Lonchura striata: one gene and its partners. The protein of the gene in region 2 binds, or shares a complex with, the protein of the main gene of each other region. Links are inferred from orthologs where the notes say so. Each region holds a gene or a part of one and is shown on either strand. Other genes may lie near its edges.

Region 1 (6,939 bases), on a different chromosome or scaffold from region 2:
ATTCATTGCAGATGCAATATTTTCCTGAAAAAGCTGTTTCCTGAAAAAAGAGACTATGCACCAACAATGTGACAGACAATTGCATTTTGTTTCAATAAAGCAAATGTAAAATACTGGTAGGAAGCCACAGTTATAACACTTCAAGAAATTTGGGATACATGTAATATAATAACACACTTTCCACCACAAAAATTTGTGGAATAACTTATGCTGGAAAAAGTCCCCTGAGGCCCAACCATCCCTCTGCTCAAAACAGGTTCAGTTAGTTCAGTCTGCTTAGGAACATGTTCAGCTAAGTTTTAACTCTCTCCAAGGACAGAGATGCCACAAACACATTGCTTCAAGGTTTCACTGCCCTGTGGATAGGACAATGGATTGAGACTTTAAATCCATTTCTAGTGGTGTTAAATTACTTGTTATGGGAGTTTAAGAGTTACTTACTCTCATATGTGACCTTGGATGATTCAGTTTCTCTGCAAGCCTAGAATTATTATTCAAAACTCCTGCCTAATTGTATTATCGCATTATAAACACTGTCTAAATAACAATATATTCAAAGATGCTATCACTGCAAAGTAAATGTTTTTAAGTCCTTGGATTCCACCATGGGACGAATGAAGCTAAAGAAATATGGCATTTTACATAAACCAGCAGACTATACTTTAAACTCCTACAGCAGCCTCTATACATTGAGGCCTAAACCATTTATATCTTCAGTTCTGGACTTTTTATTGGTGACTTTATTCAGGGTTCATAGTTCTCACCCAACAATGGCATCCTTTTCATTATGTTTTCAGGGTTTAAGTTAATGACCAGAGTGGTTTCATTTTGGTAACCCTATTATCAGATTTTATATGAAAATTATCCATTTTTATTCTTCCACATTAAACTGCAGGTATTGTCTTTCTGCCCAGAATACCAAATTCTTGCATTATGTTCTCAGCAGAAATAATGCATGGAATGACTGATTCCTACCTGTATGATGAACAGCCTTTGCTTAGAAATTCAGAAGATAATTCATGCTGTTGAGGACATAGCCATTTTCTTTACACTGCTTATGATAATTTATATTCTGTCTAATAGTGTCATACACAATATATCTGTATGGGATATCAACTGTATTGTTCTTCCCATTAGCACCATTTAGACCATGCAGGTGAAAAATCCAAAATAGGGAGATCCCAGTTTCTGTCACTTTTGCTTCTGCTGGCAATTTGTTTAAAGCTATTTCCTTGAATTTCTTGATGTATCATCTGAATTCTTTTTTTCCAGATAGATTTGAATCACCATAAATTTGCAGCATCATGATCTATAAACATTACAAGACCCAACAGGAGTAAATTGAGTTTAGTTCACTCGTCACCAGTCTATCTTATTTCAAATAGTACCCAATGAGTTCTCAAGGGACCTGTAGCTATCCACCTACAGTGTTTGAGATTGTGATCTCTGAAATCATAGAGCTTTTAGGTTAAGAATGCCACAATATTTGAAATCCTGCAGATACTACACTTCTTTCTGAATGTCATTGCATACGGCTTTCTCACATCCCATATCCCCATTTGGGCTATGACCACTCAAGGAATGACAGTCAGATGTCTGAAATGGGGGATTTTTCCAAAATGAAGCAAAAAAGATGATACATCATTTAAAAACTCCAGAGTGGGACCACGAGATTGCTTCATTGCCAGCCCTTCCTCAGCACTCTTGAACAAACTCACCGTGCTCAGCTTCTGACCTCTGACATTCAGATGCTAAATCATCCATAACTTCTCAAGGCTTAGCAAGGGATCTGAAAAGGCTTCCGCAGCCCTTCATTCGTAGACAGTGAAACAGTACATTATTTACACTGGTTGCATTTGCAGGATTTATAAACGTACCCTGCACAGACAGGCTTGGATGCAGCACAGAGATCCGCCTAGGATCCTGCGCGCAGTCATCTGTTGTCGGTATCAGAAAGGAAGGATGCCACACGGCTGGCCACCAGGGACCCGAGGTCGGCACACCTACCCCGTAACGCAGCCGGGCGGAGGCCCGGCCACCGTCGTGTGACAGGGCGAGGTGCCCAGGTGGGTTTTACCTGCCGGGAAAACGCCTCCACCCACAGGCTCCGCGGGGAGCACAGGGACGGGAGCTGCAGGGAGCTCCTCCGTGGAGCGGAGCGGGGCCGGGCGAGGCGGCGGCCGAGGTCGCACCTTGGCCCGGTGGGGCTTTCCTGGCCCGCACGGCGCGGTACTTTCCGGACACGGTTAACCTTTGCGTTACACCCACTGCGCCCGGAGGGGTGGAAACTCCGGGGAGAAACGATTCGGGGAGGGCGGTAAAGGAGGAGAGGTGGTTTTAGGTAGCGAAGATTTGCCGGCCCGCACCAGGGGCCGGCGCGCTCCTGCAAGCGGGACGCCCCGGGAAAGCGGCGGCGTTCCCGGGCCGGTGGGCAGCGCCCGGGTTAGGGAGGCGCTGCCGGCGAGGGTCGCACAAGCGAGCGGCGGCGGGGTCACACGCAGCGAGGGCCGGCCCAGCCGGCGGGGCGGGGCGGAGCGGCCGCCGCAGGGCCAAAGCGGCGGGCGAGGTGCGGCGGGGGCCGGCGGCGCAGCGCTCTGCCCGCGGCCTTCGTCCGCCTCCGCGGCCGGGGGCAGCGGCCGTGCCGAGCTCGGGCGGCCGCGACCGAAGCCGCCGGCGAACAAAGGCGCGGGCGGCCACAGTGACTTCACCGCCGGGCCCGCCCCCGCACTCCCGCTCGCGGAACCTGCCCCGCTGCCGTCTCCTGGCAACCTGCGGGGACCCGCACTCTCCGCGCTGGGGCCGGGCAGCGCCGCCGGCCGCGGTCTCCTGCCGTCCCCTCGCCGTCCTCAGCAGACCCCGTACCCCCGGCGCCGAGAGGCGGCCCCGGCGGCGCCTCGGGACGGCGGCGGGCAGCGCCCACCTGCCCCCGGCGGGGGCGGGCAGGGGGCGGCCGTCCCCGCCCCCCGGCAGCCGCCCTCTTCGCCCGAGGGAGGTGCGGAGCTGCCGCCGCCGCCGCCGCTCCCCGCGCGGTGCCAGGAGCCTCCCCGCACCCCCCAGGCAGGGCGGGCGGCGACGCGCCCCTGGCCGCCGGGCTGGAAGCGAATGGAGGGAACCAAGCTCCGCGCTTAGCCGGGGCCCCTCTGCCGCCGGGGGGGGGCCGGTCCTGGCGGGGCGCGGAGGCGCGGCAGGCGCTGCCCCCGAGATGCGGCGGCCCCCGCCCGCCCCTCCGAGCGCCCTACCTGTGCCGGGCCCGCCGCCGCCCCTCCCCCGGCCCCGCCGCCGCCGCCGCCCCCGCGGGGGCCGGGACTGAGCGCGCCGCGGCGCCGAGACACGGCCCCGAGAAGAGGGCGAGGGAGCGGGAGCGGTGCCGGCCGCGGCGCATGATGTGGGTGCCGCTGCTGGCGTGCCTCACCGCGGGGATCGTCTCCGTGCCCAGGTGCCAGCGCGGCCCCGGAGCCTTCCTCGGGGCGGCCTGGCTGCTGGCGGCCGTGCCGGGACTCTGCCAGCGCTGTAAGTGTCCGAGCGCCTGGGACTGCTGCCCCGGCTGGCGGGGGCTGTGGCCGGGTTTGGTTCTGGCGCGGGGTCGTGCGAGGGCGGGGGGCTTGCCCGGGCCCGGCCGCTGCCCTGGGGCGCAGCGCTGACAGCGGGACCGGCCGGCGCCACCGGCACTCGTCGGCCGGGCGGGCCGAGCTGGCGGGCGCACGGTACCTGCAGGGAGAGCCGGGCTGGAGCGGTGTCCAAGCCTCACACCGCCAGGGCCAGCCCGTGATTTCACTGCCCACGCCGGGGGCGTCCCGCCTTTAGGGAGCCATGGGGAGCCGGCGGGACTGTCGCACTCCAGGGTGCTGCGGGTCCTGAAGTGCACCCTCCGCAACACTCCGTGGAGCGGCACGCGGACCCCAGCCAGGGATGACCGGTTCTTGGGGATGGTAACACTCTGTTTTACGTCGTTCATGTGGCACGCAGTGGCAGGGTTAAATAGGGATAGAGCTACGAGAAGATTGTCTTCTGTTTACCTCGGGATAACGTGCATGTTGGCAGTTCCCTGGGAGCTATGGTTCTCGGGTGAAAAAGACTCAGGTAAATGTGGGTAACTCCTCACGTTGTGGAATTGCTTCCCAAGGCCCCCAGTATCATTTTTAATGTGTGCTGGCTGAGGGGAGCTTGTGCAAATGTACCTTAGATGGTGCAGCAGTTGACAGAGCAAGCAGGTTAGTCAATTCATAAAGGATCTTATTTAGCTAGCAGTGATCATAAAAGCAGATCTGGTTGTCAGTCATCTTTCTGTATTTTCTTATGCTTGTGGAATAATTGGCATTTCCCAGTTTAAGCCTGGAGCTGATTTAAAATGTTAACATGTAACCTCTGAAACTGAGATTTACAATGGGAACAATGTATTAGTCTTAGATTCTTTATTGCAAAGGAGACAAATTCATGCCTAATTCAGTAGGATTTGCCCAGCACTATTAAAAACAATGGAATAATTTGTTAACTTTCATAGGATAATTTATTTTACTTTTTTGGCTTCGTACTTTGAATTCAGAACCAAAGTAATGTCAATAGGAAAAATAAAATATATTATTAAATTTCTTATGAACCATGACATCTTGTATGTGGTATCCCAGATTTTTTTTATACAGTGCAATTGAGTTGAAATGCTAATTGAAACTTTATGAAAAGGATGGTTCTGTGCCTGAATGTAGTGTTGTGCTTGCTTATGAGTGTAGTTCCTGGGTACACACTACTGCAAGTAATGCAACAGAACAGAATGCCACAGGGGGGAGGTTGTGCATGGAGCTTTTGTGCCAAAGGATGCTTGCTGTCTTTGTTGTGCTTCATAGTGAAAATATATATGGGCAATACGTCATGGGTTATGTGTTTATTGTGACAACAGCTCTCAGATTGGGCAGACTGTAACTCACATAGACCTTGTTTTTTCCTTTTCATTTGAAACCTCTGCTAATTCATGAAAGCTGAAAAGAACACTGAATTCTTTCCTTCATACATAATCACTTTGCAGGCTACAGCCGCAGTTGAATCAAGAAGAATGTTTTGCTTTGTTTTTCTGTGAATGAACACATGAAATTTTTTGTTATTATTAATATTGTTAGTGATTTTTACATTTAGTTGTGATAGCCAGTGCAACACCACCTGGATTCTTTGAATGTCTGCAGGCTGCTTTGAGAGACAGTGGGCAGCAGCTCCATGTACAGATATTTGGCAGCATGGTTTTGTTCACACAGCCATTCCTCTTTGCTTCTGCATTGACAGTGCTGGGCATGGAGAAAAGCATCTTGCTGTTCCTGTGCCATCATCAAGTCCAATTTATTTATGTGCAGAGTTGGCAGAACCTGCATATCTGTTGAACTGAATCTCCAGTTCTGAAAGAGACTGGAATTAATATGAACTGTACATAGAATTCAAATTTATTTAATTCTTGTTGGAGCATTTATGGCTCTTCTAATTGAAACATTAAGAGCTTGATACTACCTGAGATATTTGTTCTTCAAGCTGCAGTTTGAGATGTGAGTCATTGCTTGGGGATAAGTAAAGGTAGAATTTGGCATAGGGTTTGAAGTTACAAGGAGCGCAAAAGGAAATCTCACAATGATGTAAATTTGTAATTCCCAAATTATGGGTTCTGTAAGCTCAAATAAAAAGAGTAGTGTTGCTGCCTTCTACAAAGGGTCCCTTGTTCAATAAGTCTCACCAAAAGGAAATTTGCAGTTCAGTAAGCCAATTATAACAAATACCTGACATAAGATTCAAGCTAGTTCTGTAGGGATTTCTACAGATCCCTGCATTTATGTTTGAACATTAAAGCTGACAAACTCCTAAAGATGTAAACCAGTGAACTGAATAAAAGCTGGATTCTACAGCAAGAGCATGTGTATGCATTGCACTAACCAATTGAGTAAGTGCTCACTTCAGTGAAGACAATTCTCTTGCCCTGTTCAGAAACCAACTGCTGAAACTCTTATTTTTTACCTGCTGTATCAGCACATGGGTTATATGGGGCTTAAGTACTGAAGAATGACTGATTGGTCAGGCTTAACATAGGACATTGATTAAGATCTCTGCAGTGTCCCAAGACCAGTTATAATATTAAAATCAGAAAACTAAGGTATTTGGTGCTTTCCAAAATACCCAGGGAGTAATTCCTCTATGAAGCTCAGGTAAACAGAATGTACTTGAGGTGTGCAAACAGGGATGAGATGGAATGAAAATCTTTATCTCTGAACAAAAGTTGGAGAACAGTCACACAGCAATTCTTTTAAATAGTTGTGATTGACAGGTCTCTTTAAATACCAGCTTTAAAAGTATTTTCAGTCTTCTTGAGAGTGTCATTTGGAAAGACCACTGGAGAATCATCATGAAGGGGTCAGTTGTTAATTGATTTGTGCCAATAGCATGACTTTTGATTCATTAATTTTCTCCCATCAAGGTCTTTGGTGCTTCACCAGTCTTGTCACATCAGATTTCCATGTGATCCCTCTAGTAAGAAAGTTTTATAAACCATTACTCATGCTACTTCTCAAAGGAATAAGGAAAGCTATTCAAACCACCCATGGAAGATTTTGAAGAGAAGTGATGGGAAATATGCCATGATACACACACAAACACACAAAAAAGTCTGAAATAAAAGATACATCATGATAGCTTTAATTGGTGTTTATCTGTTAATTCTCTTGCGCACCCATGCAGTGCATTTTCTATTGAGACTCAGTGGAAGAAGCTGAGCTGTATGGGATACCCAGCACTGAGTCAATTGAGCTTTTCCTGAGGCTTAAAACAATCCAAGGAAAAGAGAAAATCCAGTTTTCATTTCCTGAGTCTGCGTGGGCGATCTGCACCCTCGGGCTAATGGACCATCTTTGGGAAAGCCAACCTTTTTGGAACCTTTGGGGTAAAACAACCTGGGTGTTTGAGAGGGCTGTA
Region 2 (7,270 bases):
CCTTGTCTCTCAAGCTGCCTTGGAAAATGGCATCTGTTTTTCCTTCAGGAAGGTAAGCAAAGGACTTTTTTGCAGGACTGTTGCAGATGCTTCCCAAGCTTGAACATAACCAAGTGAGGTCTGATCCACATGAGTTTTATGAGATCCCTGACGTGAATGGTTGGTCAAAAGTAATTTATTCTCTGAAAAAAAAAACTTTTAATTCAGGCAATGTACCTGAGAGGCACAGGGAAAGAGACCATTCCATGAGTCACCAAGCAGCTCAGAAAAGGGATGGAGAACTTGGCTCTCCTGCCTGCTATTTTTGCTCCTCAGCTTTTCTCACTTTTGGGCTTTGCATCTTTGAAAAGTATGGGTTCTCTGAGCCAATATGACACTTGACTAATAGTCTGGAGCTAGAACAGTTTGTGTGAGTGCACACATTTCAGATTTGTCTGTGTCATCACTGCAGTTCCTTCAATGGAGTAGTCCTCCCCTGCCCCCCCTGCCCCCCCAGGAGACTGGCTTTGGCTCAGAACATGCTCTTAGATCACCACATGGCACAGTGACAGAGTCATGGGAAAGTTGAACAGCAGCCACTTCTGAAGATGTGGGGCCAAATTCAGCCATGGTGTAAGCAATGAAACTCCCCAGGTTTCAAAAAAAAAAAAAAAAAAAAAAAGAGTGTGTCTCTTGCCACCACAATATCTCTGGAGCTAGTCTCCCCTAGAGTGACCAAATTACAAAGTTCCCTCTTTCTCTGGGTGGTAGCATCTACACTACCCACTCCCAGAAATTTAGTCTCAGCACTACTTGGTCTTTTGAACCCACTGTCCCAGTGTCCTATGGGGACATGGAACAGGATCATTAATTTCCTCAGGAATTTTCCCAAAGCCACAATCTCTACTCATCACTCCTTTTCATGCACTATTTCTTCATTCCACTTTCCTCTCAATTTTAGCCAAATCCACACCCCTAACTTTATTTGCCACTGTTGTGCTTTACGTTTTCCCCACTTCCTTCCCCCCCAAAAATGCTAGTGTATAGTGTGGCTGTACTATTTTGCAGACACATGTTTTTCCCATATGTTTATAGTTTCACAAGTGACATTTCAGTAGGTCAAAAATGCTGAAATACAGGTAACCTTTGCACTTTCTGTTCCTTGAATCTTGGGTGTCTCCTGAGCTAAGAGCTAATCATATAACCATATGGAATGCAGTCTGCTAGAGATTAAGTAAAATTTGTTACATTACCACATTGTAGCTTATTCCATCTCATCATATGTCAAGATTAACATAAACCTGGCAGAATTAACTGCATTCTGAGACTGCCTCCACCAAGTCACAGCTCCTCCCCAAAACTCCTTGTCCCCAGGATGGCACAACTTCACAGGAGAACACCCTGGATAGTGGTATGACTACATCTTCCAATTCTAAGAATCCTAAACAAGCCAAAATGACTGCTTGTGCCTACATGTGCTCAGCATCTGCAATCTGCTTTGAGTTCATGTCTGCTCAGTCTCTGTCTTTTTGTCTGCTCAGCTTCTGCACCTGAATCTGTTTAGTGTCCACATCTGGGCCTGCTCATCATCTGCTCCACACCTGCTCAACATCTGTCATGTTTCCTCAATGCCTGTGTTCCCTTGGGGGGTCCCTTTGGCATCACTGCTTTACACCTGCTCAGTATCCTTGTCTTCTCCTCACTCTCTGAACGCTCACACTATCTGAGTAACACCTTCATCAGTGTCCGCCAAGCAGCAGTCACTTTAGCAAGTATCTCTCCACCTTCTCTCCTGCCGCGCGGGTGCTGCACGGACCGGACAGTAGCCTGCATTTCTGCGGCAGGCGCTGGAGCTTCAGCAAGGAGGAGGCCGTCGACCTGCTGTCACCCAAACACCAGACCTGCGCCGTCTCCCACCCCGTGCGCAGCATTCAGCCCGCCACCCGCAGGGCTTCTCCTCCCCTCCCTGTCCTGATGTCAAGGCTCTAGGCACGGGCTCTCCGCTGCCGGCCGGGGCCTGGGTCGATGCCGCTCCCGGACCCCGCCACCCACCGTCCCCACTGCCGGCCAAGCGCCGCGCCGTCCCGCCGCCGTCCCGAGCGCCCCCCGCCCCGCGGCTCCCGCTCACCTCCGTACCCGAGCGCAGCCGGGAGGAGACTCGCCCCCCGCCCGCCTCCGCCCCGCCGGGGAAGCGGCCCCTTCCGCGGGGGCCCGGCGCCCCTCGGCCCCAGCCGGCTGTCCCGCCCCCGCGCCCGGGATCCCGGGCAGCCTGCCCCGCGGGCGCGGCAGCTCGACCGGCACGGTGGGAGCCCCGCACTTACTGTGCTCAGGGAGGCCCTGGATCATGTCAAATTTATGAATCTCTTTGGCATAGTATTCGGACTCGGTGTTGTCCTGAGAGCAGCTCTCTTCCTTCTCCTCCTCCATCTCCTCCAGCAGCTCCCGAGTGCTGTTATAGAGGGCCAGGATCTGGTAGGGCACATGGGCCGGCCCCACGGTCTCCGGCGGGCTGGTGAGCCGCAGCTTGCTCAGGATCTGCCCTCGGATGGCCTCTACCCTCTTCTTCTTGATGTGATCCAGGTCCAAGGTGGTGCAGGACGACAGCGAGAGGCTCACGGTAGCGAAGCTCAGCAGGGAGAGCAGTACCAGCGCCCTTTGCACGTACATCTTCATGTGTGAGGGGGCGGCGGCGGGGGCCTCCGGGAGAGACCCCCGAGCGGCGGCGAGAGGGCGCGGGGGACCGGGCGGTTTGCTGGCGGCAGCCTCCTCAGAACCCGCAGGATGAGGCTTGGCGAGGAGGTGCATGAACTCACTGCGCCGTGCGCGACTCAGGACTTCCAGGAAGAGCTGGCAGCGCTCCGCAAGGAGAAGCGGCAAGCGCCGTGCCTCGCCGCGCCGCGCTCCTTCCCCATGCGCCGCCCCGCGCCCCGCGGAGCAGGGGGCGCCCCGCCGCGCCGCGCCGCCGCACGTGTCAGCGGCCCGCGCCGCCCCGCCGCCGCGGGGGGAGCGCCGCGCCCGCCCCTCTCGCTGCACCATTCATGCCCCCGCCGGGCCCCGCGCCCTACATCGCCCGGTGCCCGGCCGTCGGCGCCCGGGAGCGCGGCACCGCGGCGCTTCTCGCCCAGCCGGGAGCGCTGCCACCGGGCCGTCCGCTGCGCCCGTGGGTTCCGTTGACCGCCGTGCCCTGGTCCGTACACCGACACCGCTCCGCACCGGCCCGCCCGCGCACACTGCCGCTCCCCCGGCCCCGACGCTGAAATTTTATACCTCCCTCCCATGACGTCCCCGGGACGGGGCTCGGGCGGGGGAGGGAGCTCCAAGCCCGGCCTTCGGCTGCGCCAGCCCCGCGCTAATGGCTCCAGCAGCCGCACAGCCCCCACCGCTCCCCCCCTCCGCAGCCCCCGCCGCCCCCCGCGCCCGCCCGGGGCCGCCTCGCCCCGCGCAGCCCGGGCCCCTCGGCGCGGGGCGGCCCCGCGCGCCCTCCGACGTGGCCGCCGCACCGCCCCGCCGGCGGCGCGCGGGCGCCCCCTGCTGGCGGCACTCGCGCGGCGGCGGGCGGGCCCTTCGCGGTGGTCCGGGCGGCGCGGGGAGGCCCCTCCCGCTTCCAGCTGCGAAATCGCATTAAAAGCCGCTAAAAATACCCCGAATACTTTCCTGATGTGGTTTCTTTCCGAGGGAGGGAGGGGCCGAGCGGCGGGGTTCGGCCGCCGCGCTGCGGGCGGGGGGCTGCGGCGGGACCCGCGGGCCGATGCACGGCGGCGGCAGGGTCAGGGCGATGCGCCTCGGCACCGAAGACAGGTGGCACCCGGAGCTCCGGGGTGCCCGGTCACGGCAGCCCTCGCTGCGGTGAAGGGGCTGCGTCGGGCATCCGCTGCCCTCGGAGGGGGCCACAGGCGGGAGACAAAGCACCGGCCGGGGATGGGGCTGTAATTCATAACCCGGGCCTAGCAGGGTGTCTCTCCCGGCCGTGCTCTCACTGCGGCCACTCGCAACACCGGCCTCCCGCCTCCGTGCCGCGGGCCGGGCCCGTGCCTGCTGCCCCGGAGACCCGAGAAGGGCTCCCGGTCCGTGGAGCGAGCGAGAGCTTTTCTCTTGGCGTCACCTGGACCCTGTCCCCAGCACGCAGTCCTTCTCCCCGAGCCAGCGGCTTTGTGCCTTCCCAACCCATGGCAGCCGCTCGCAGCCCTGGCAGCGCTGCCGAAGGAGCCAGCCAGCCCGCTGGGCTGGCGGTGCGTTCGAAAAGTGGGGCAGGGACAGCTCCTGCCATGCTGCGGGCAGAGTGGCATGTGGAAGCAAGTCCTGGATCTTTATGCTCTGGGAGAGGTGGGGCTCCGGGGCATGTGGCCCCTTGGAGCGGTGGTGTCCAGCAACAGCAGGCAGCAGTGCAGCTGGAAGCATCTGGAAACCCCGGCACGGCTGAAGGGAGCCTTCTCTTACCTGCATGTTCGGGGGCCTTCGGCTGGGAGAGCGCTGCGAGCTCACAGCACAGTGACTCACCCAAGACAGGGAGTGTGGAACAGGTTGATGGGAAATCCATGGGGCAGCTGGGGGTGCTGGATTCACTGTGAGCCATTTTGTGCAGCTCTGAGGAGATGTAAGGGTGAGCTGCTCTCTGTTTGCTTGTGCTTTGCTTGGGGAAGAGGAATTAAGAATTCTCTGGTGGGGTGACAAAATGTAACAAGATCTAGTAGCATCCAAGATGATGTCAGTCAAATTTTAACTTGAAGTTAGATGCAAATTCTGACTGTTGACATTAAGTATCCATGGGATATTATTATGTAGGTTGGGATGGATGTTTCTAGAGCTCCCCAGGTACTTCTGAAATGAATTTTGGATGCTTTTCCATACTGGGATATCCTTTACCTTGCTGCCAGGTTGGAGGTCACACTAAATGCAGTCAAACTGATTGCTTTGGACTCCAGTAATCCATTTGCTACAGTGCCGCATAGTGGCATAGTGACTTATTAGTTAAGATGGAGATAAGTACAGAAATTATAAGAAATTACGAGAGTTTCCCAGAGGCTGGTCTTGGGCCCAGGTTTTATTAATGATCTTGGCACGCCAAAATGGATGTGCTAATGAAATTGGCTGCTTATCCAAAACTGGAGGCATTGTCGGTATAGGGGAGGACTGGGATATCCTATAGGAGGGGGTAGGCAATTTTGAAGGCTAATACAGGAGAAATGGGATGAAATACAATAGTAAAAAATGCAAGGTTATGTTGCTAATGGCTGAGATCAGACTTTTCTTTTACAAGCTGACAGTGTGAACTTAGTGCTTGGAAATAATAGTGGAGAAGGATGTAGGGGTCCCTGCTGGTTCCAGTATTGGACCACTCACTTTCTGTTCCAAGTGTTGCTCTGTGGGTTGAAAAGAGGTGGGGAAGCCCCGTGATCTGACATGCACTGGAAGCAATGCTGGAGGCTGTGAGCAACAGTCATTAACAGGTTGCACATCTTTTACATGCTGGAATCCAGCTAGGCTGAGGGAGAGCCTGACAGGGCTACTGAACATGTATCATAGGAAATATTTCACACTTGGCAACTCTGGCTGGGGTTTGACAGTCTGAGCTGGGGCTGACGTAACACAAATAGCATCTGTTCTCATGGCAATCAAGACAGGCAAATGTGTGGACCTTTGCTGCCTGTCAAAGCCCCTTCCACCTTCCAGAGAGAGGGATATCTTGTTTGAAACTTTGCAATTGTCAGGGGATTTTGTTCTGGAGCCTACAGAAATAAAAATATTTGCAGTTTTTTCCCTCCTCCAAAACCCCTTAGAGATGGGAAGGTGCATGGAGGAAAAAAAAACCTGCAGAAAAATTAAACTGAGATGCTTGGAGCTGCCAGCGTGGAGCAGGATATAGCAACAATCTTTGCTGAATGCTTCACTTCCCAGTGGAAGATTAATATTTTAATGAATTGGCCCATATCAAAATTGGGAGTCTGGCTGCCTGCCTGATGTGAAGATTCGGCGAGGAAGAAAGCACCCTGCTGTGTCACTTGTTGGTACTGGAATTGCCCTGTATCCCATAAATCCTACTACTGTCAAAGACCTGCTTCAGAAAACCTTTGGGCACTCTGAATAAGGTGGTCATTGTGCAACCACGTGGGCTTTCCACCATAGCTATAGCTTTAACTACATGTGTGTGCCCTTGCTTTAAAGGGGGTCTAGGATCAGAAGCATATGGGAGGCTCAAGTGTGATTGCCTTCCCAGAATTTCTCATGGATAGGAGTACCAGACACAAGCTCTATTCATATGTCTGCCAGTCAAGGAGAAATCAACAGCACTAGTGGGGAACTCTGTCAGTCCTACTCTGTGTGATCAGGTTTGTGCTGGAACCAGATGGAGAGAGTCCACGCTTAGATGTGAGAACTTGTCCGTGAAAGGAATGCTTGCGGAGTTCTTACTTGTGTTCAGCTCAGAGGGGGTGGCAGCAGTGTGATTTACAGTGAGGGCAAAACCAAACAAGTAAGGCAGACTGAGAGCTGAGAATACACCTGAAACTGTACACTGGGAAAGAGAAACCCTGGCACCACAGACCTGAACTGGACAGGAAGCAAACACTGAAAATAGCTTTGGACAACCACAGCACACCAGACATTTGTTCTGCTACCTGGCTCCTTCTCAGTTGGTTAAGTGAACACAGTCTAGGTCCGGAGTCAAATGCTGCCTGTGGTGTCACCTGTAAGACAGAGGAGAATTAAACTGTTCAGAAAATGTAATCCAAACACTTAAGGCAGGCAAAATCCACTTTGGCCACAACATGAAATGATGAATGAAAACTCTTTTCCTCCTGTTGCCCTTCCCAAGCAGGCAAAACTTTGAGGGGTACGTGACAAACCCTATTCCAATAAGTGGAATCCAGAGGGATTAGAGGTAGAACAGATTTTAGGTTTCATTCTTTCTGCACATCTGCTCTTCCCTCTCCTTGAGAATCTCTGAAGTCCGGAGTCAAAATTCTGAGGCAAAGCTCAGTTGCCCAAGTCTTTACATGTTTTCTTTCCTGCACATGGACTTCACCCTCCCTCAACTGGCCTGAGACTTCTCTCCCTGGGGTAGGCAGCAAGCAGCACAGAGTGTGTCTTGGGGGAAAATGGGAAGTACAGGTGTACTGTCTGGGATGGAGACCCAGGGGAATTGTGAGGAGAAGCTTGGAGGGGAGGGCAGTTCCAAACAAGTGAATGCACTGGTCATGCTGCTTCATGATCTGTCTGTCCAGGATGGCACCCCTCTACCCTGGCTCTGGGAGGATGACCCTGCCAGCTGGCTGTGTGGGAGCATGTGGGAAGA
Region 3 (7,444 bases), on a different chromosome or scaffold from region 2:
CCTTGACCTTCTACCAGACAGAGGAAATCAAAAGCCTATAAATATCAATTGTATATCTCAAAGTTTATTGTCATTACTCAGTTCAAAGCATTGATATGCATTCCTTTCCACAGCACTGCTACAGGGTAGGTACTAACCTCACATGGTGCTGAAGTTAATGGTTACTTTTACAAAGAGGTTTCTGTGCCTTATTACCTTATTTCTGTGCCTTATTTCCCAGAGTTTTGTCTAGAGTCAAGATTCTCAAGATCAGTCAGCTGTCTCCTGGAAACTGCTCTGGCCTGCAAGACCTTTTGACCAAAGCCTGGGCAATGTCTGGCAGAATCAGATCTGAAACATTAAATTTCTGGTGGATAGTCATGGGCCCATACCATGCATCTGCTCTTTTCTCCTAGGTCTGGGCAAGCAACCCATGGATCAGCCATTAAGCCACAAATATTCTCTGAATTCAGTTGCTGAAAAACTTTCCATGCAAAACAAAACAAATTTACTTTAAACCTACTAAAAACAGACCTATGACCCTTTTTTTCCCACCAAAATATCACCCTTCATGCCTGAAAATTTTCAGGCATCTTATATATTTTGGTGGAAGTGTTGAGGCACCTGTTGGGAACAGTGGTTTATTATTCTCCAGCCTGAACCAGATGCCTTTGCTCAGGCAAAACTCACCCACTGCTTCTTGAATACAGCACACATAAATTACACGTACCATTATAAACCTTTCACAGGGAGATCCATATCGTCTCCTTTAGTTACACAGTTTGTAACTTTTCAAAATGTGTGAAGAGACAACCTCATATTTCAAATACAATTACAAAGTGTGTTCTTATCCTACAGAAAACAGTGGTTTCCTTAGAGGTGCTTTTGTATGCTTGGATACTAAAGCTCCTATGCCTTTTGCATGCTTTATGTGCTGTTTTCTAACAAAGAAATGAATGAGCTTATGAACAAAGAAGAAAAAGCATGTTTACTACAGTGAACTTTTCAATAGTTCCACAGGGTTTTTTTTTGGTTTGGTTTTGGGTTTTTTTGAATCAATAAATTATATTGGGCTCTTTTTTCTCTGAAAATACATGGCAGTAGTCAAAATTATGGGATCCAATTTCAACAAAATCCTGTTTTATAGTACAGATATAAAAACAACTGCAAACACACTAATGTGGGGTCTTTTTGACCTCAATGGTTAATATATTTTGCAAATTGCAAAATATATATTTTTAGAATTTTTAAATGAAATGCAGTTTTTTCTTTCTGAGCTATTTCATAAAGAGTGTTTTAGTCCCATACTGTGTCATTTTGCTATACACAAAAACAATAAAAGCTGTTAGCAGCAAAGGTGCAATCCAGAAACAAAAATGAAAAATACTTTATTTCTCTAGCATTTCTGTCAAGTTTCTGTTGCAATAGCTGACTATCTTGTTAATGATGATGAACTAAGAGCTAGAATATTTATTGTGAAGTGGGGAGATTTTATTTAGCACCATTTACAGAAGAAAGTTTTAAAAGCAGAAATGTGAAGTCACTTCCCCAGGGTTGCACTGAAAATCTGAAACAAAGCCATAAGAAACAAATCCAGATATACTTTTTAAGTTAAATGCTTTAGCCAAAACATATCTATATCATATGAATTATAAATCCGACATTATTGTCATACTTAAAATTAATCACAGTTTTATAATTTCTATATGGAAGTTCTACATCTGCAAACTTTTATACTCTTGATACCTGCAAACCTTCTGCTTGCACTGTCTGGCTTGGCATGTAATCTGTCAGATACAGTTTGGCCTCTGACTTTGTGTCTGGTGCTTCATCATCAGTGCTGGGGGTGAGTCAGCCCTTGAGCTGACGACCTGAGACCCCCTAATAACATTTCTATTTCTGCCTTAGATTTGAAAGGTTGATGTTTTCGTGGGTTTTTTCAAACAAGAAAACAAACAAATAAACAATCATCCTAACAACCATACTGTGAATAACAGACCATGGAGAGTAGATTAAATTCCACTTCTGCTCCCCAAGAAGGCTTCACTAAGCACTGCATGCATTACAAAACCCTGGGCTGACCCAATTAAGTCAATACTTCATCACTTGGAGTGACTACAAAGACTTAAGTCTTACTTTGAATTTTTTTTTTTTATCACTCTACCTCTTGCAAACACCAAGCGCAGTGTGGTCCGGAAAGCAAACAATCTTCACAAGTCACTGTGCTTTCCTGAGAACAGGTCCCTGAATTTAAATCCAAGAAGATAAAAGACTGTTAATAATATGCTGAATCATTCAATTTATGAAGAAACATGCCATCTAGAGAATGTGGGTGGTGAAAAATACACATATATAGCCATATTTAGGATTACTGATAAAATTTCTTCTTAACAGTAGTTCTATTGGTAAAAGATTAACTCTACAATAAAGATTAAAGCCTTAGAATTGCTGGCAATTAACATACCTCCTTTTGCATGCTTTATGGGTGGCATTCACTTAGAACATGTTACCTTGTTCCCTCCAGTGCACCTGAGAGAGTGTTACATGTATTTCTGGTATGGTGTAGGTAAGTCATTTCCCACATAACCAGGGATATTAAAAGAACAGATTTATGCTCACTCTCTATGCTTAATATTGCTTCACTCAGCTCCGTAGATGCTTGATATGATTTTTCTCCATTGTGTAACTACCAGAGAAATACTCAGCCATATGTATAATATGAAAGATTCTTAACAGATCAAACTGTGATTAGTGAAAATGAAATTGCTCAAATGTCTATCTCTTTCAAACCTGTTGCGCTATATAATGACCACCAAATTGTAGATGAATTGGCAATGCAGCCCTACAGCAGTCTATCCAAAAAAGGTCATTAAATAGAAAGATTAAATACAGAAGGCAGAGAGCTATTTCGTGTCAACTTCAAGCAAGAAACAATGCAAAATGATTTTGAAATTGATCTCCCTGCCCCTGAGCCTTACCTTGCACATAGTTATTTCTTAGCAGGAATAGGAAACAGAGGCAAAGCAATTCAATCCCCATTCGTTTTCAGTGCTGGCTGCATGACAAAAAAATATTAGCTTGTTAATTATCGTCTGCATGAAGGTAGAATGTCGTAAAAAGCATGCATTCCCGAAGGGTATGTTTTGGGATGTCACGTACACCGGATCGCGAGGAAGCTGCAACCCAGCGGGACGGACCATGAACAAAAGTGAAAACAAGGGCTACCTGGGCAGGTAGAGAGGACAAGCTGTGCACACAGTAACGTGAACATGGTTATCACTTCCTTGTTTTCCTGGGCTCCTTATAAGGCATACGGGGAAAATTCATTCAGGTGAAGATTCCTGTCAGTCCCAGTCACTCTGGGTCCTAGAGCAACCCAGCCAAGAGACCGTGTTTGCACTGTACAACAGCCCTTCTAAAGCTCCTTCAAAAGAACACCTTTAATTGTGCCCCGAGGGAAAATGGATCATTAAGATTGCCGAGTATATACCTGGAGAGAAGAAAAAAATCCCACTTTTTCAGATTTCCTGATGTGGAGGGAAACTCATAAAGGCAACTGTGAAGGGAAAAAACCCAAACTAATCGCAGATTAAAATTTAGGACTTTGCTTCAGTACTGCAAGATACCAAGTACATTGATTTTTTTTTTTTTACATTCCAAACGGAAAGGAAAATGCTGGAGTTGTAGATTCTTTTAATATATAGAAGGAGGAATAATTTTATTCCCAGTACAGCAACTGACTTGAAAAAAGAATCATGTAGCCTTAACTCTGCCTAATAAGCAGCTGAATATTCTACAGCACAGAAACAATTGCATAACAAGTTATTGCTATCTCTCATCCACCTTCCCAACCTGAAATGAAGGCAAAATATGTATTTCTTACCACCTTATTAAAAGAAAATAAAATTCCTTATTTCCAGATTTTATGTCTTCCCATCTTTTATACTCTGTTATTGCCTGTTTTAAAAAACATTTTTTCAAGACGAGTCCTGTCTTTTCATAAAGATTTGCAATAGTCAAAGTAGGGATGGGTCTGTATTAGTTAAATTCAACATGCCCAAAACATTCCTGGGCACTGGGGCCAACTGGCACAGAAAGACCTGAGTTTATGATTGCAAAGTACCTATTGGGCCAATTCTAGCAACCAAATTGTGCCCAGAAATTGTTTGCAGTGAGCATTGATTGGAAGAGGTCAAATTCATGCCAGGGAGCTTTTTAACAGTCTAATAGCACAGACAATCTCATTCTAGTGCTTGGAAATATTCCCAGGCACATCCAATTTTACTAGTGTTTACACAGACTATGGGTAATTTCAATAGCAACTCACCCTGGATTACATCAGGACTACCTTTGCTCTGCCCTTGTGTTCCCACCCTCTTTATTACTCATCGTTCATGCCCAAACACGCCGCGTTTCAAACTGATCCAACCAAACCCAATCACCTTCTGTGGGAAAGGTGGAGGGCTGGTTTTCATCTGGTTTTGTCCCTTAAACCCTGTGGCTGCCCAGTCCAGAGTTCAAGGCAGAACTGACAGGAAAGGTGAGAATTTGTTAGGCCAAATTTAGCCCAGTTTAGGCTGTTGCCAAACCGTATCTTAACATTTCTATTTACAACATTCCTAAATCTCCTTCAACTGCTCTCTATGCCTCAGAGTGCCCTTTGTAAGGCACTTGCTCAGCTACAGTGATTTTCTGTGGCATGAAAAAAACATCGATTAGATTATGTTCCCTCAGTTGGTGAAGACACAACTCTATGAGAACACTCTATGTAATTACATAAGGTCAAAAAGAAGTGGAATAAACCAAAAGTGTTTGCTCTTGCTAAGAGAAACATCCCCCTGTAATATGCTACTCAAATATCCTACTTCCCTGGCTCTGACTGACATTTCTCTATGTGTCCTTCAAGATTGTTACTATGTCCACAGCCTTGCAGACCCCCAAAACCCAGTGCTTTCTCTTTCAGTGTAGGTCACCTTGTAGCTCTGATGGGCTACTGGCCCCTGGGAACAGCAACACTTCAAAGCACAGGGCTTGGTGGCAGCGCTGCAGCCACCACAAGATAGCAACACCTGCAGGGTCTCAAACTAAGGACCAGTCAGCTGAACAGCTGGCAATTAGCAAATGCTTATTCTTGGATTGAAGATATCAAACTTTGAAGTGTAGAGAGAATTAGTAATATATCCTATATAAAACTTACAAATTCTATTTGATATTATCAGTTCTCCATTTGCTTGTGAGGTTAATATTTTGCATAGGTCTTGGCAAGAATAGCATGGCCGGAAGCTAAGTGCCTGCCTCTGAGTGAGGTGACTGCCAGACTATCTGAATTAAGCCTTTGCTGAATAAAATAGCTAAGTTTCTGCAAATTATTAGGAATATATTAGATTATTAATAGATCTATTAGATCACCGTGGATTGTCTGGAGAAAGCAGCGAAGGAAAAGAAAGTAGGAGAATAAACAACAACAGAAACAGACAAGGAAAAAAAAATTGAGAGCAGGAGCCTAAGAGAGGTCCTGAAAGAGAGACAGTGTGCACCAAGAGTAAACCTTGGGCAAGGTAAGAATACCTAAACAGGAAGCAGACATATGATTCTTGTTTTGAAACACCACCTGTGCAAACTAAAGGTAAGTTGACCAGGAAGTTCCTCTACTAGATAAATGCTTTATTTGCTTTAATCATCACTAGAAGAGTAGAATCTCAATCTGGAGTAGCCATGCTGATGTGGGAAGGATGTATAAAATGCTCTGGGGTCATGGTATTACTTGATTTGGCAACAGGGTTCCCATTCTTCATAAGGTTTTTAATACAGTCTCGCATCACCCACCCAAATTAAAAGCATTGATTCTATGAGATAGAACAAAAAGGAAGTTTACAGTAGAGAAAGAACACAATTATGATTGTTTCCGTCAGCCACTATATTATTTTGGAGGAAATTCTGGTCTCTATTAAATCAGAGTTAGAGTTTTTAAATGACACATCAGAAAAGAAAACAGTTTATCATTCAGTGTAGGCAGTGCTGAACAATGCAAGTCTTCCCTCCATTCCGGGCACAAATATAGCCCTGACCTCTCAGCTTCACACATAAGCCAGCTCTTGATTCCCAGCAATCTAGTTATACACATCCTGAAAGCCTGGAAAAATATGGAACCATTTAAAGTCTGAGTGTCCCCCAGCTGAGATGATTCTCAATATTTACAAAGGTGCAGGGAGACACTTCTTGTGCTTGAGAAAAGCTTTCTCAAGTTTGTGAGGCAGAGTCTCCCTTCTCTCCACCCTATTCCTACTCCTCACTGCATCTGGAAGAGGCAAAGGGCTGCACTCCTTAGGCCAGAGGCATGTTGCTTTGTACTTGAATCATCTGGTGACTTTATTCTCTGTCTGGTTGACTTCCCAGTCAAATCCTCAAAGCTCCTGACGATCTCTAGCAGGGAATGAAAGTAGACTTTAATACTTCAGTCAAACTTTTTAACCTGAAAGGAAGTAAGTGAAGATTCTACAAAAGTCTACGGATTAAAACACTTCTCTCACAAAGAAGACAAATGTTCCATAGCTGCATAGTCAAGTGCTTCCATACTCTTGGGCCAGCAGAAGTGGAAAGCATTTTTCCTTGGAAAATCTGCACAGAAATATATGCCCCAGCAGTCTGATAAGACCCAGTTCCAAAGTACAGCAATGGCAAATGTTTCAGAGGATGCCTGTGAGTTAGCTGAACAATGAAGGCTGAAAAAAGTCTCTAAGCTTGAAATTTTGGTTCATCTTTAGGGAGCTAGAGATGATGTGAATATCCACACAGTGGTGTGAGAGTTCTGCACACAGGTCAGTCCAGCACAGACAGAAACCACACACAAATACTGCACAGACACTGCAAGGACTGTCTTGTCTCTGTCTCTGCTGCAGTACAGATCTGACAATGCTTTAGGGAGAGCTGGCAAAAACATTTCAAGAGGAAGCAACAATCCCTAACAAACAGTTGTATTTAATGGGGAAATTCACAGTGAAGGTGAAAGTAACAAATCAGCAAAATCTGAAACTTTTGCTTCTTTAATTATTTTGCTGCCTTTTTTTTTTTTTTTTTCAGTTGATACATCTGCTCTCTCTTTCTTTATTAATCATCATGGTGGGACATGGGTATTGCTCCAACAGAAAATTACATACATTCAAAGAAACTGCTGTAAGCTTTTGAGTCCTCTATGGGTGACCTGGAGCTTGCTGAAAGGAAAGTTCTGAACATACTGTGATGGAGCTGGTTCATTCCAGCTCCTGTGTTTTGGGGTGTGCTAATACCATATTCCATTAGGGGCCTATGACCAAAACACTGCCACAGAGCCCAGGGAGATTTGGTCTCTCCTAACCTCCAGGTGCTGTTTGCCAGCATGGCTACACACGATGGAGTGCAGTTTTGGAAGAAGAGTGGGGGTGTTTTTAGCCTCTTCTGGAGGGTCACAGGAGATGGAGAATCACAC

Evidence for each region. The genes of interacting proteins can lie anywhere in the genome.
Region 1: the proteins of TGFB3 (region 2) and ITGB8 are in contact, whole or in part, in a cryo-EM structure (PDB 8VS6), measured with the Homo sapiens proteins. The link is inferred for Lonchura striata from reciprocal best matches to the Homo sapiens genes TGFB3 and ITGB8. Residues at the interface, in NP_001316868.1 of Homo sapiens: Gly262, Asp263, Leu264, Arg266, Leu267, Lys268; in NP_002205.1 of Homo sapiens: Ser156, Ala157, Ser158, Asn161, Arg206, Gln210, Cys211, Tyr214, Leu216, Ser247, Gly248, Asn249, Ile250, Asp251, Thr252, Glu254.
Region 3: the proteins of TGFB3 (region 2) and ITGB6 are in contact, whole or in part, in a crystal structure (PDB 4UM9), measured with the Homo sapiens proteins. The link is inferred for Lonchura striata from reciprocal best matches to the Homo sapiens genes TGFB3 and ITGB6. Residues at the interface, in NP_001316868.1 of Homo sapiens: His259, Gly262, Asp263, Leu264, Arg266, Leu267, Lys268; in NP_000879.2 of Homo sapiens: Ser142, Ala143, Ser144, Asp147, Pro196, Cys197, Ser199, Ile200, Tyr202, Cys204, Ala234, Asn235, Ile236, Asp237, Thr238, Glu240, Asp271, Lys355.

The regions. Positions count from the first base shown.
Region 1 is NC_134603.1:126,141,071-126,148,009, reverse strand, and holds the start of ITGB8 (integrin beta-8), read left to right. Parts: upstream 1-3,921; 5' UTR 3,922-3,926; coding exon 3,927-4,080; intron 4,081-6,939. UniProt on the Homo sapiens protein: Integrin alpha-V:beta-8 (ITGAV:ITGB8) is a receptor for fibronectin. It recognizes the sequence R-G-D in its ligands.
Region 2 is NC_134608.1:22,830,471-22,837,740, reverse strand, and holds the start of TGFB3 (transforming growth factor beta-3 proprotein), read right to left. Parts: upstream 3,016-7,270; coding exon 2,301-3,015; intron 1-2,300. UniProt on the Homo sapiens protein: Transforming growth factor beta-3 proprotein: Precursor of the Latency-associated peptide (LAP) and Transforming growth factor beta-3 (TGF-beta-3) chains, which constitute the regulatory and active subunit of TGF-beta-3, respectively.
Region 3 is NC_134610.1:16,545,763-16,553,206, forward strand, and holds the start of ITGB6 (integrin beta-6), read right to left. Parts: upstream 3,019-7,444; coding exon 2,958-3,018; intron 2,224-2,957; coding exon 2,144-2,223; intron 1-2,143. UniProt on the Homo sapiens protein: Integrin alpha-V:beta-6 (ITGAV:ITGB6) is a receptor for fibronectin and cytotactin. It recognizes the sequence R-G-D in its ligands. Internalization of integrin alpha-V/beta-6 via clathrin-mediated endocytosis promotes carcinoma cell invasion.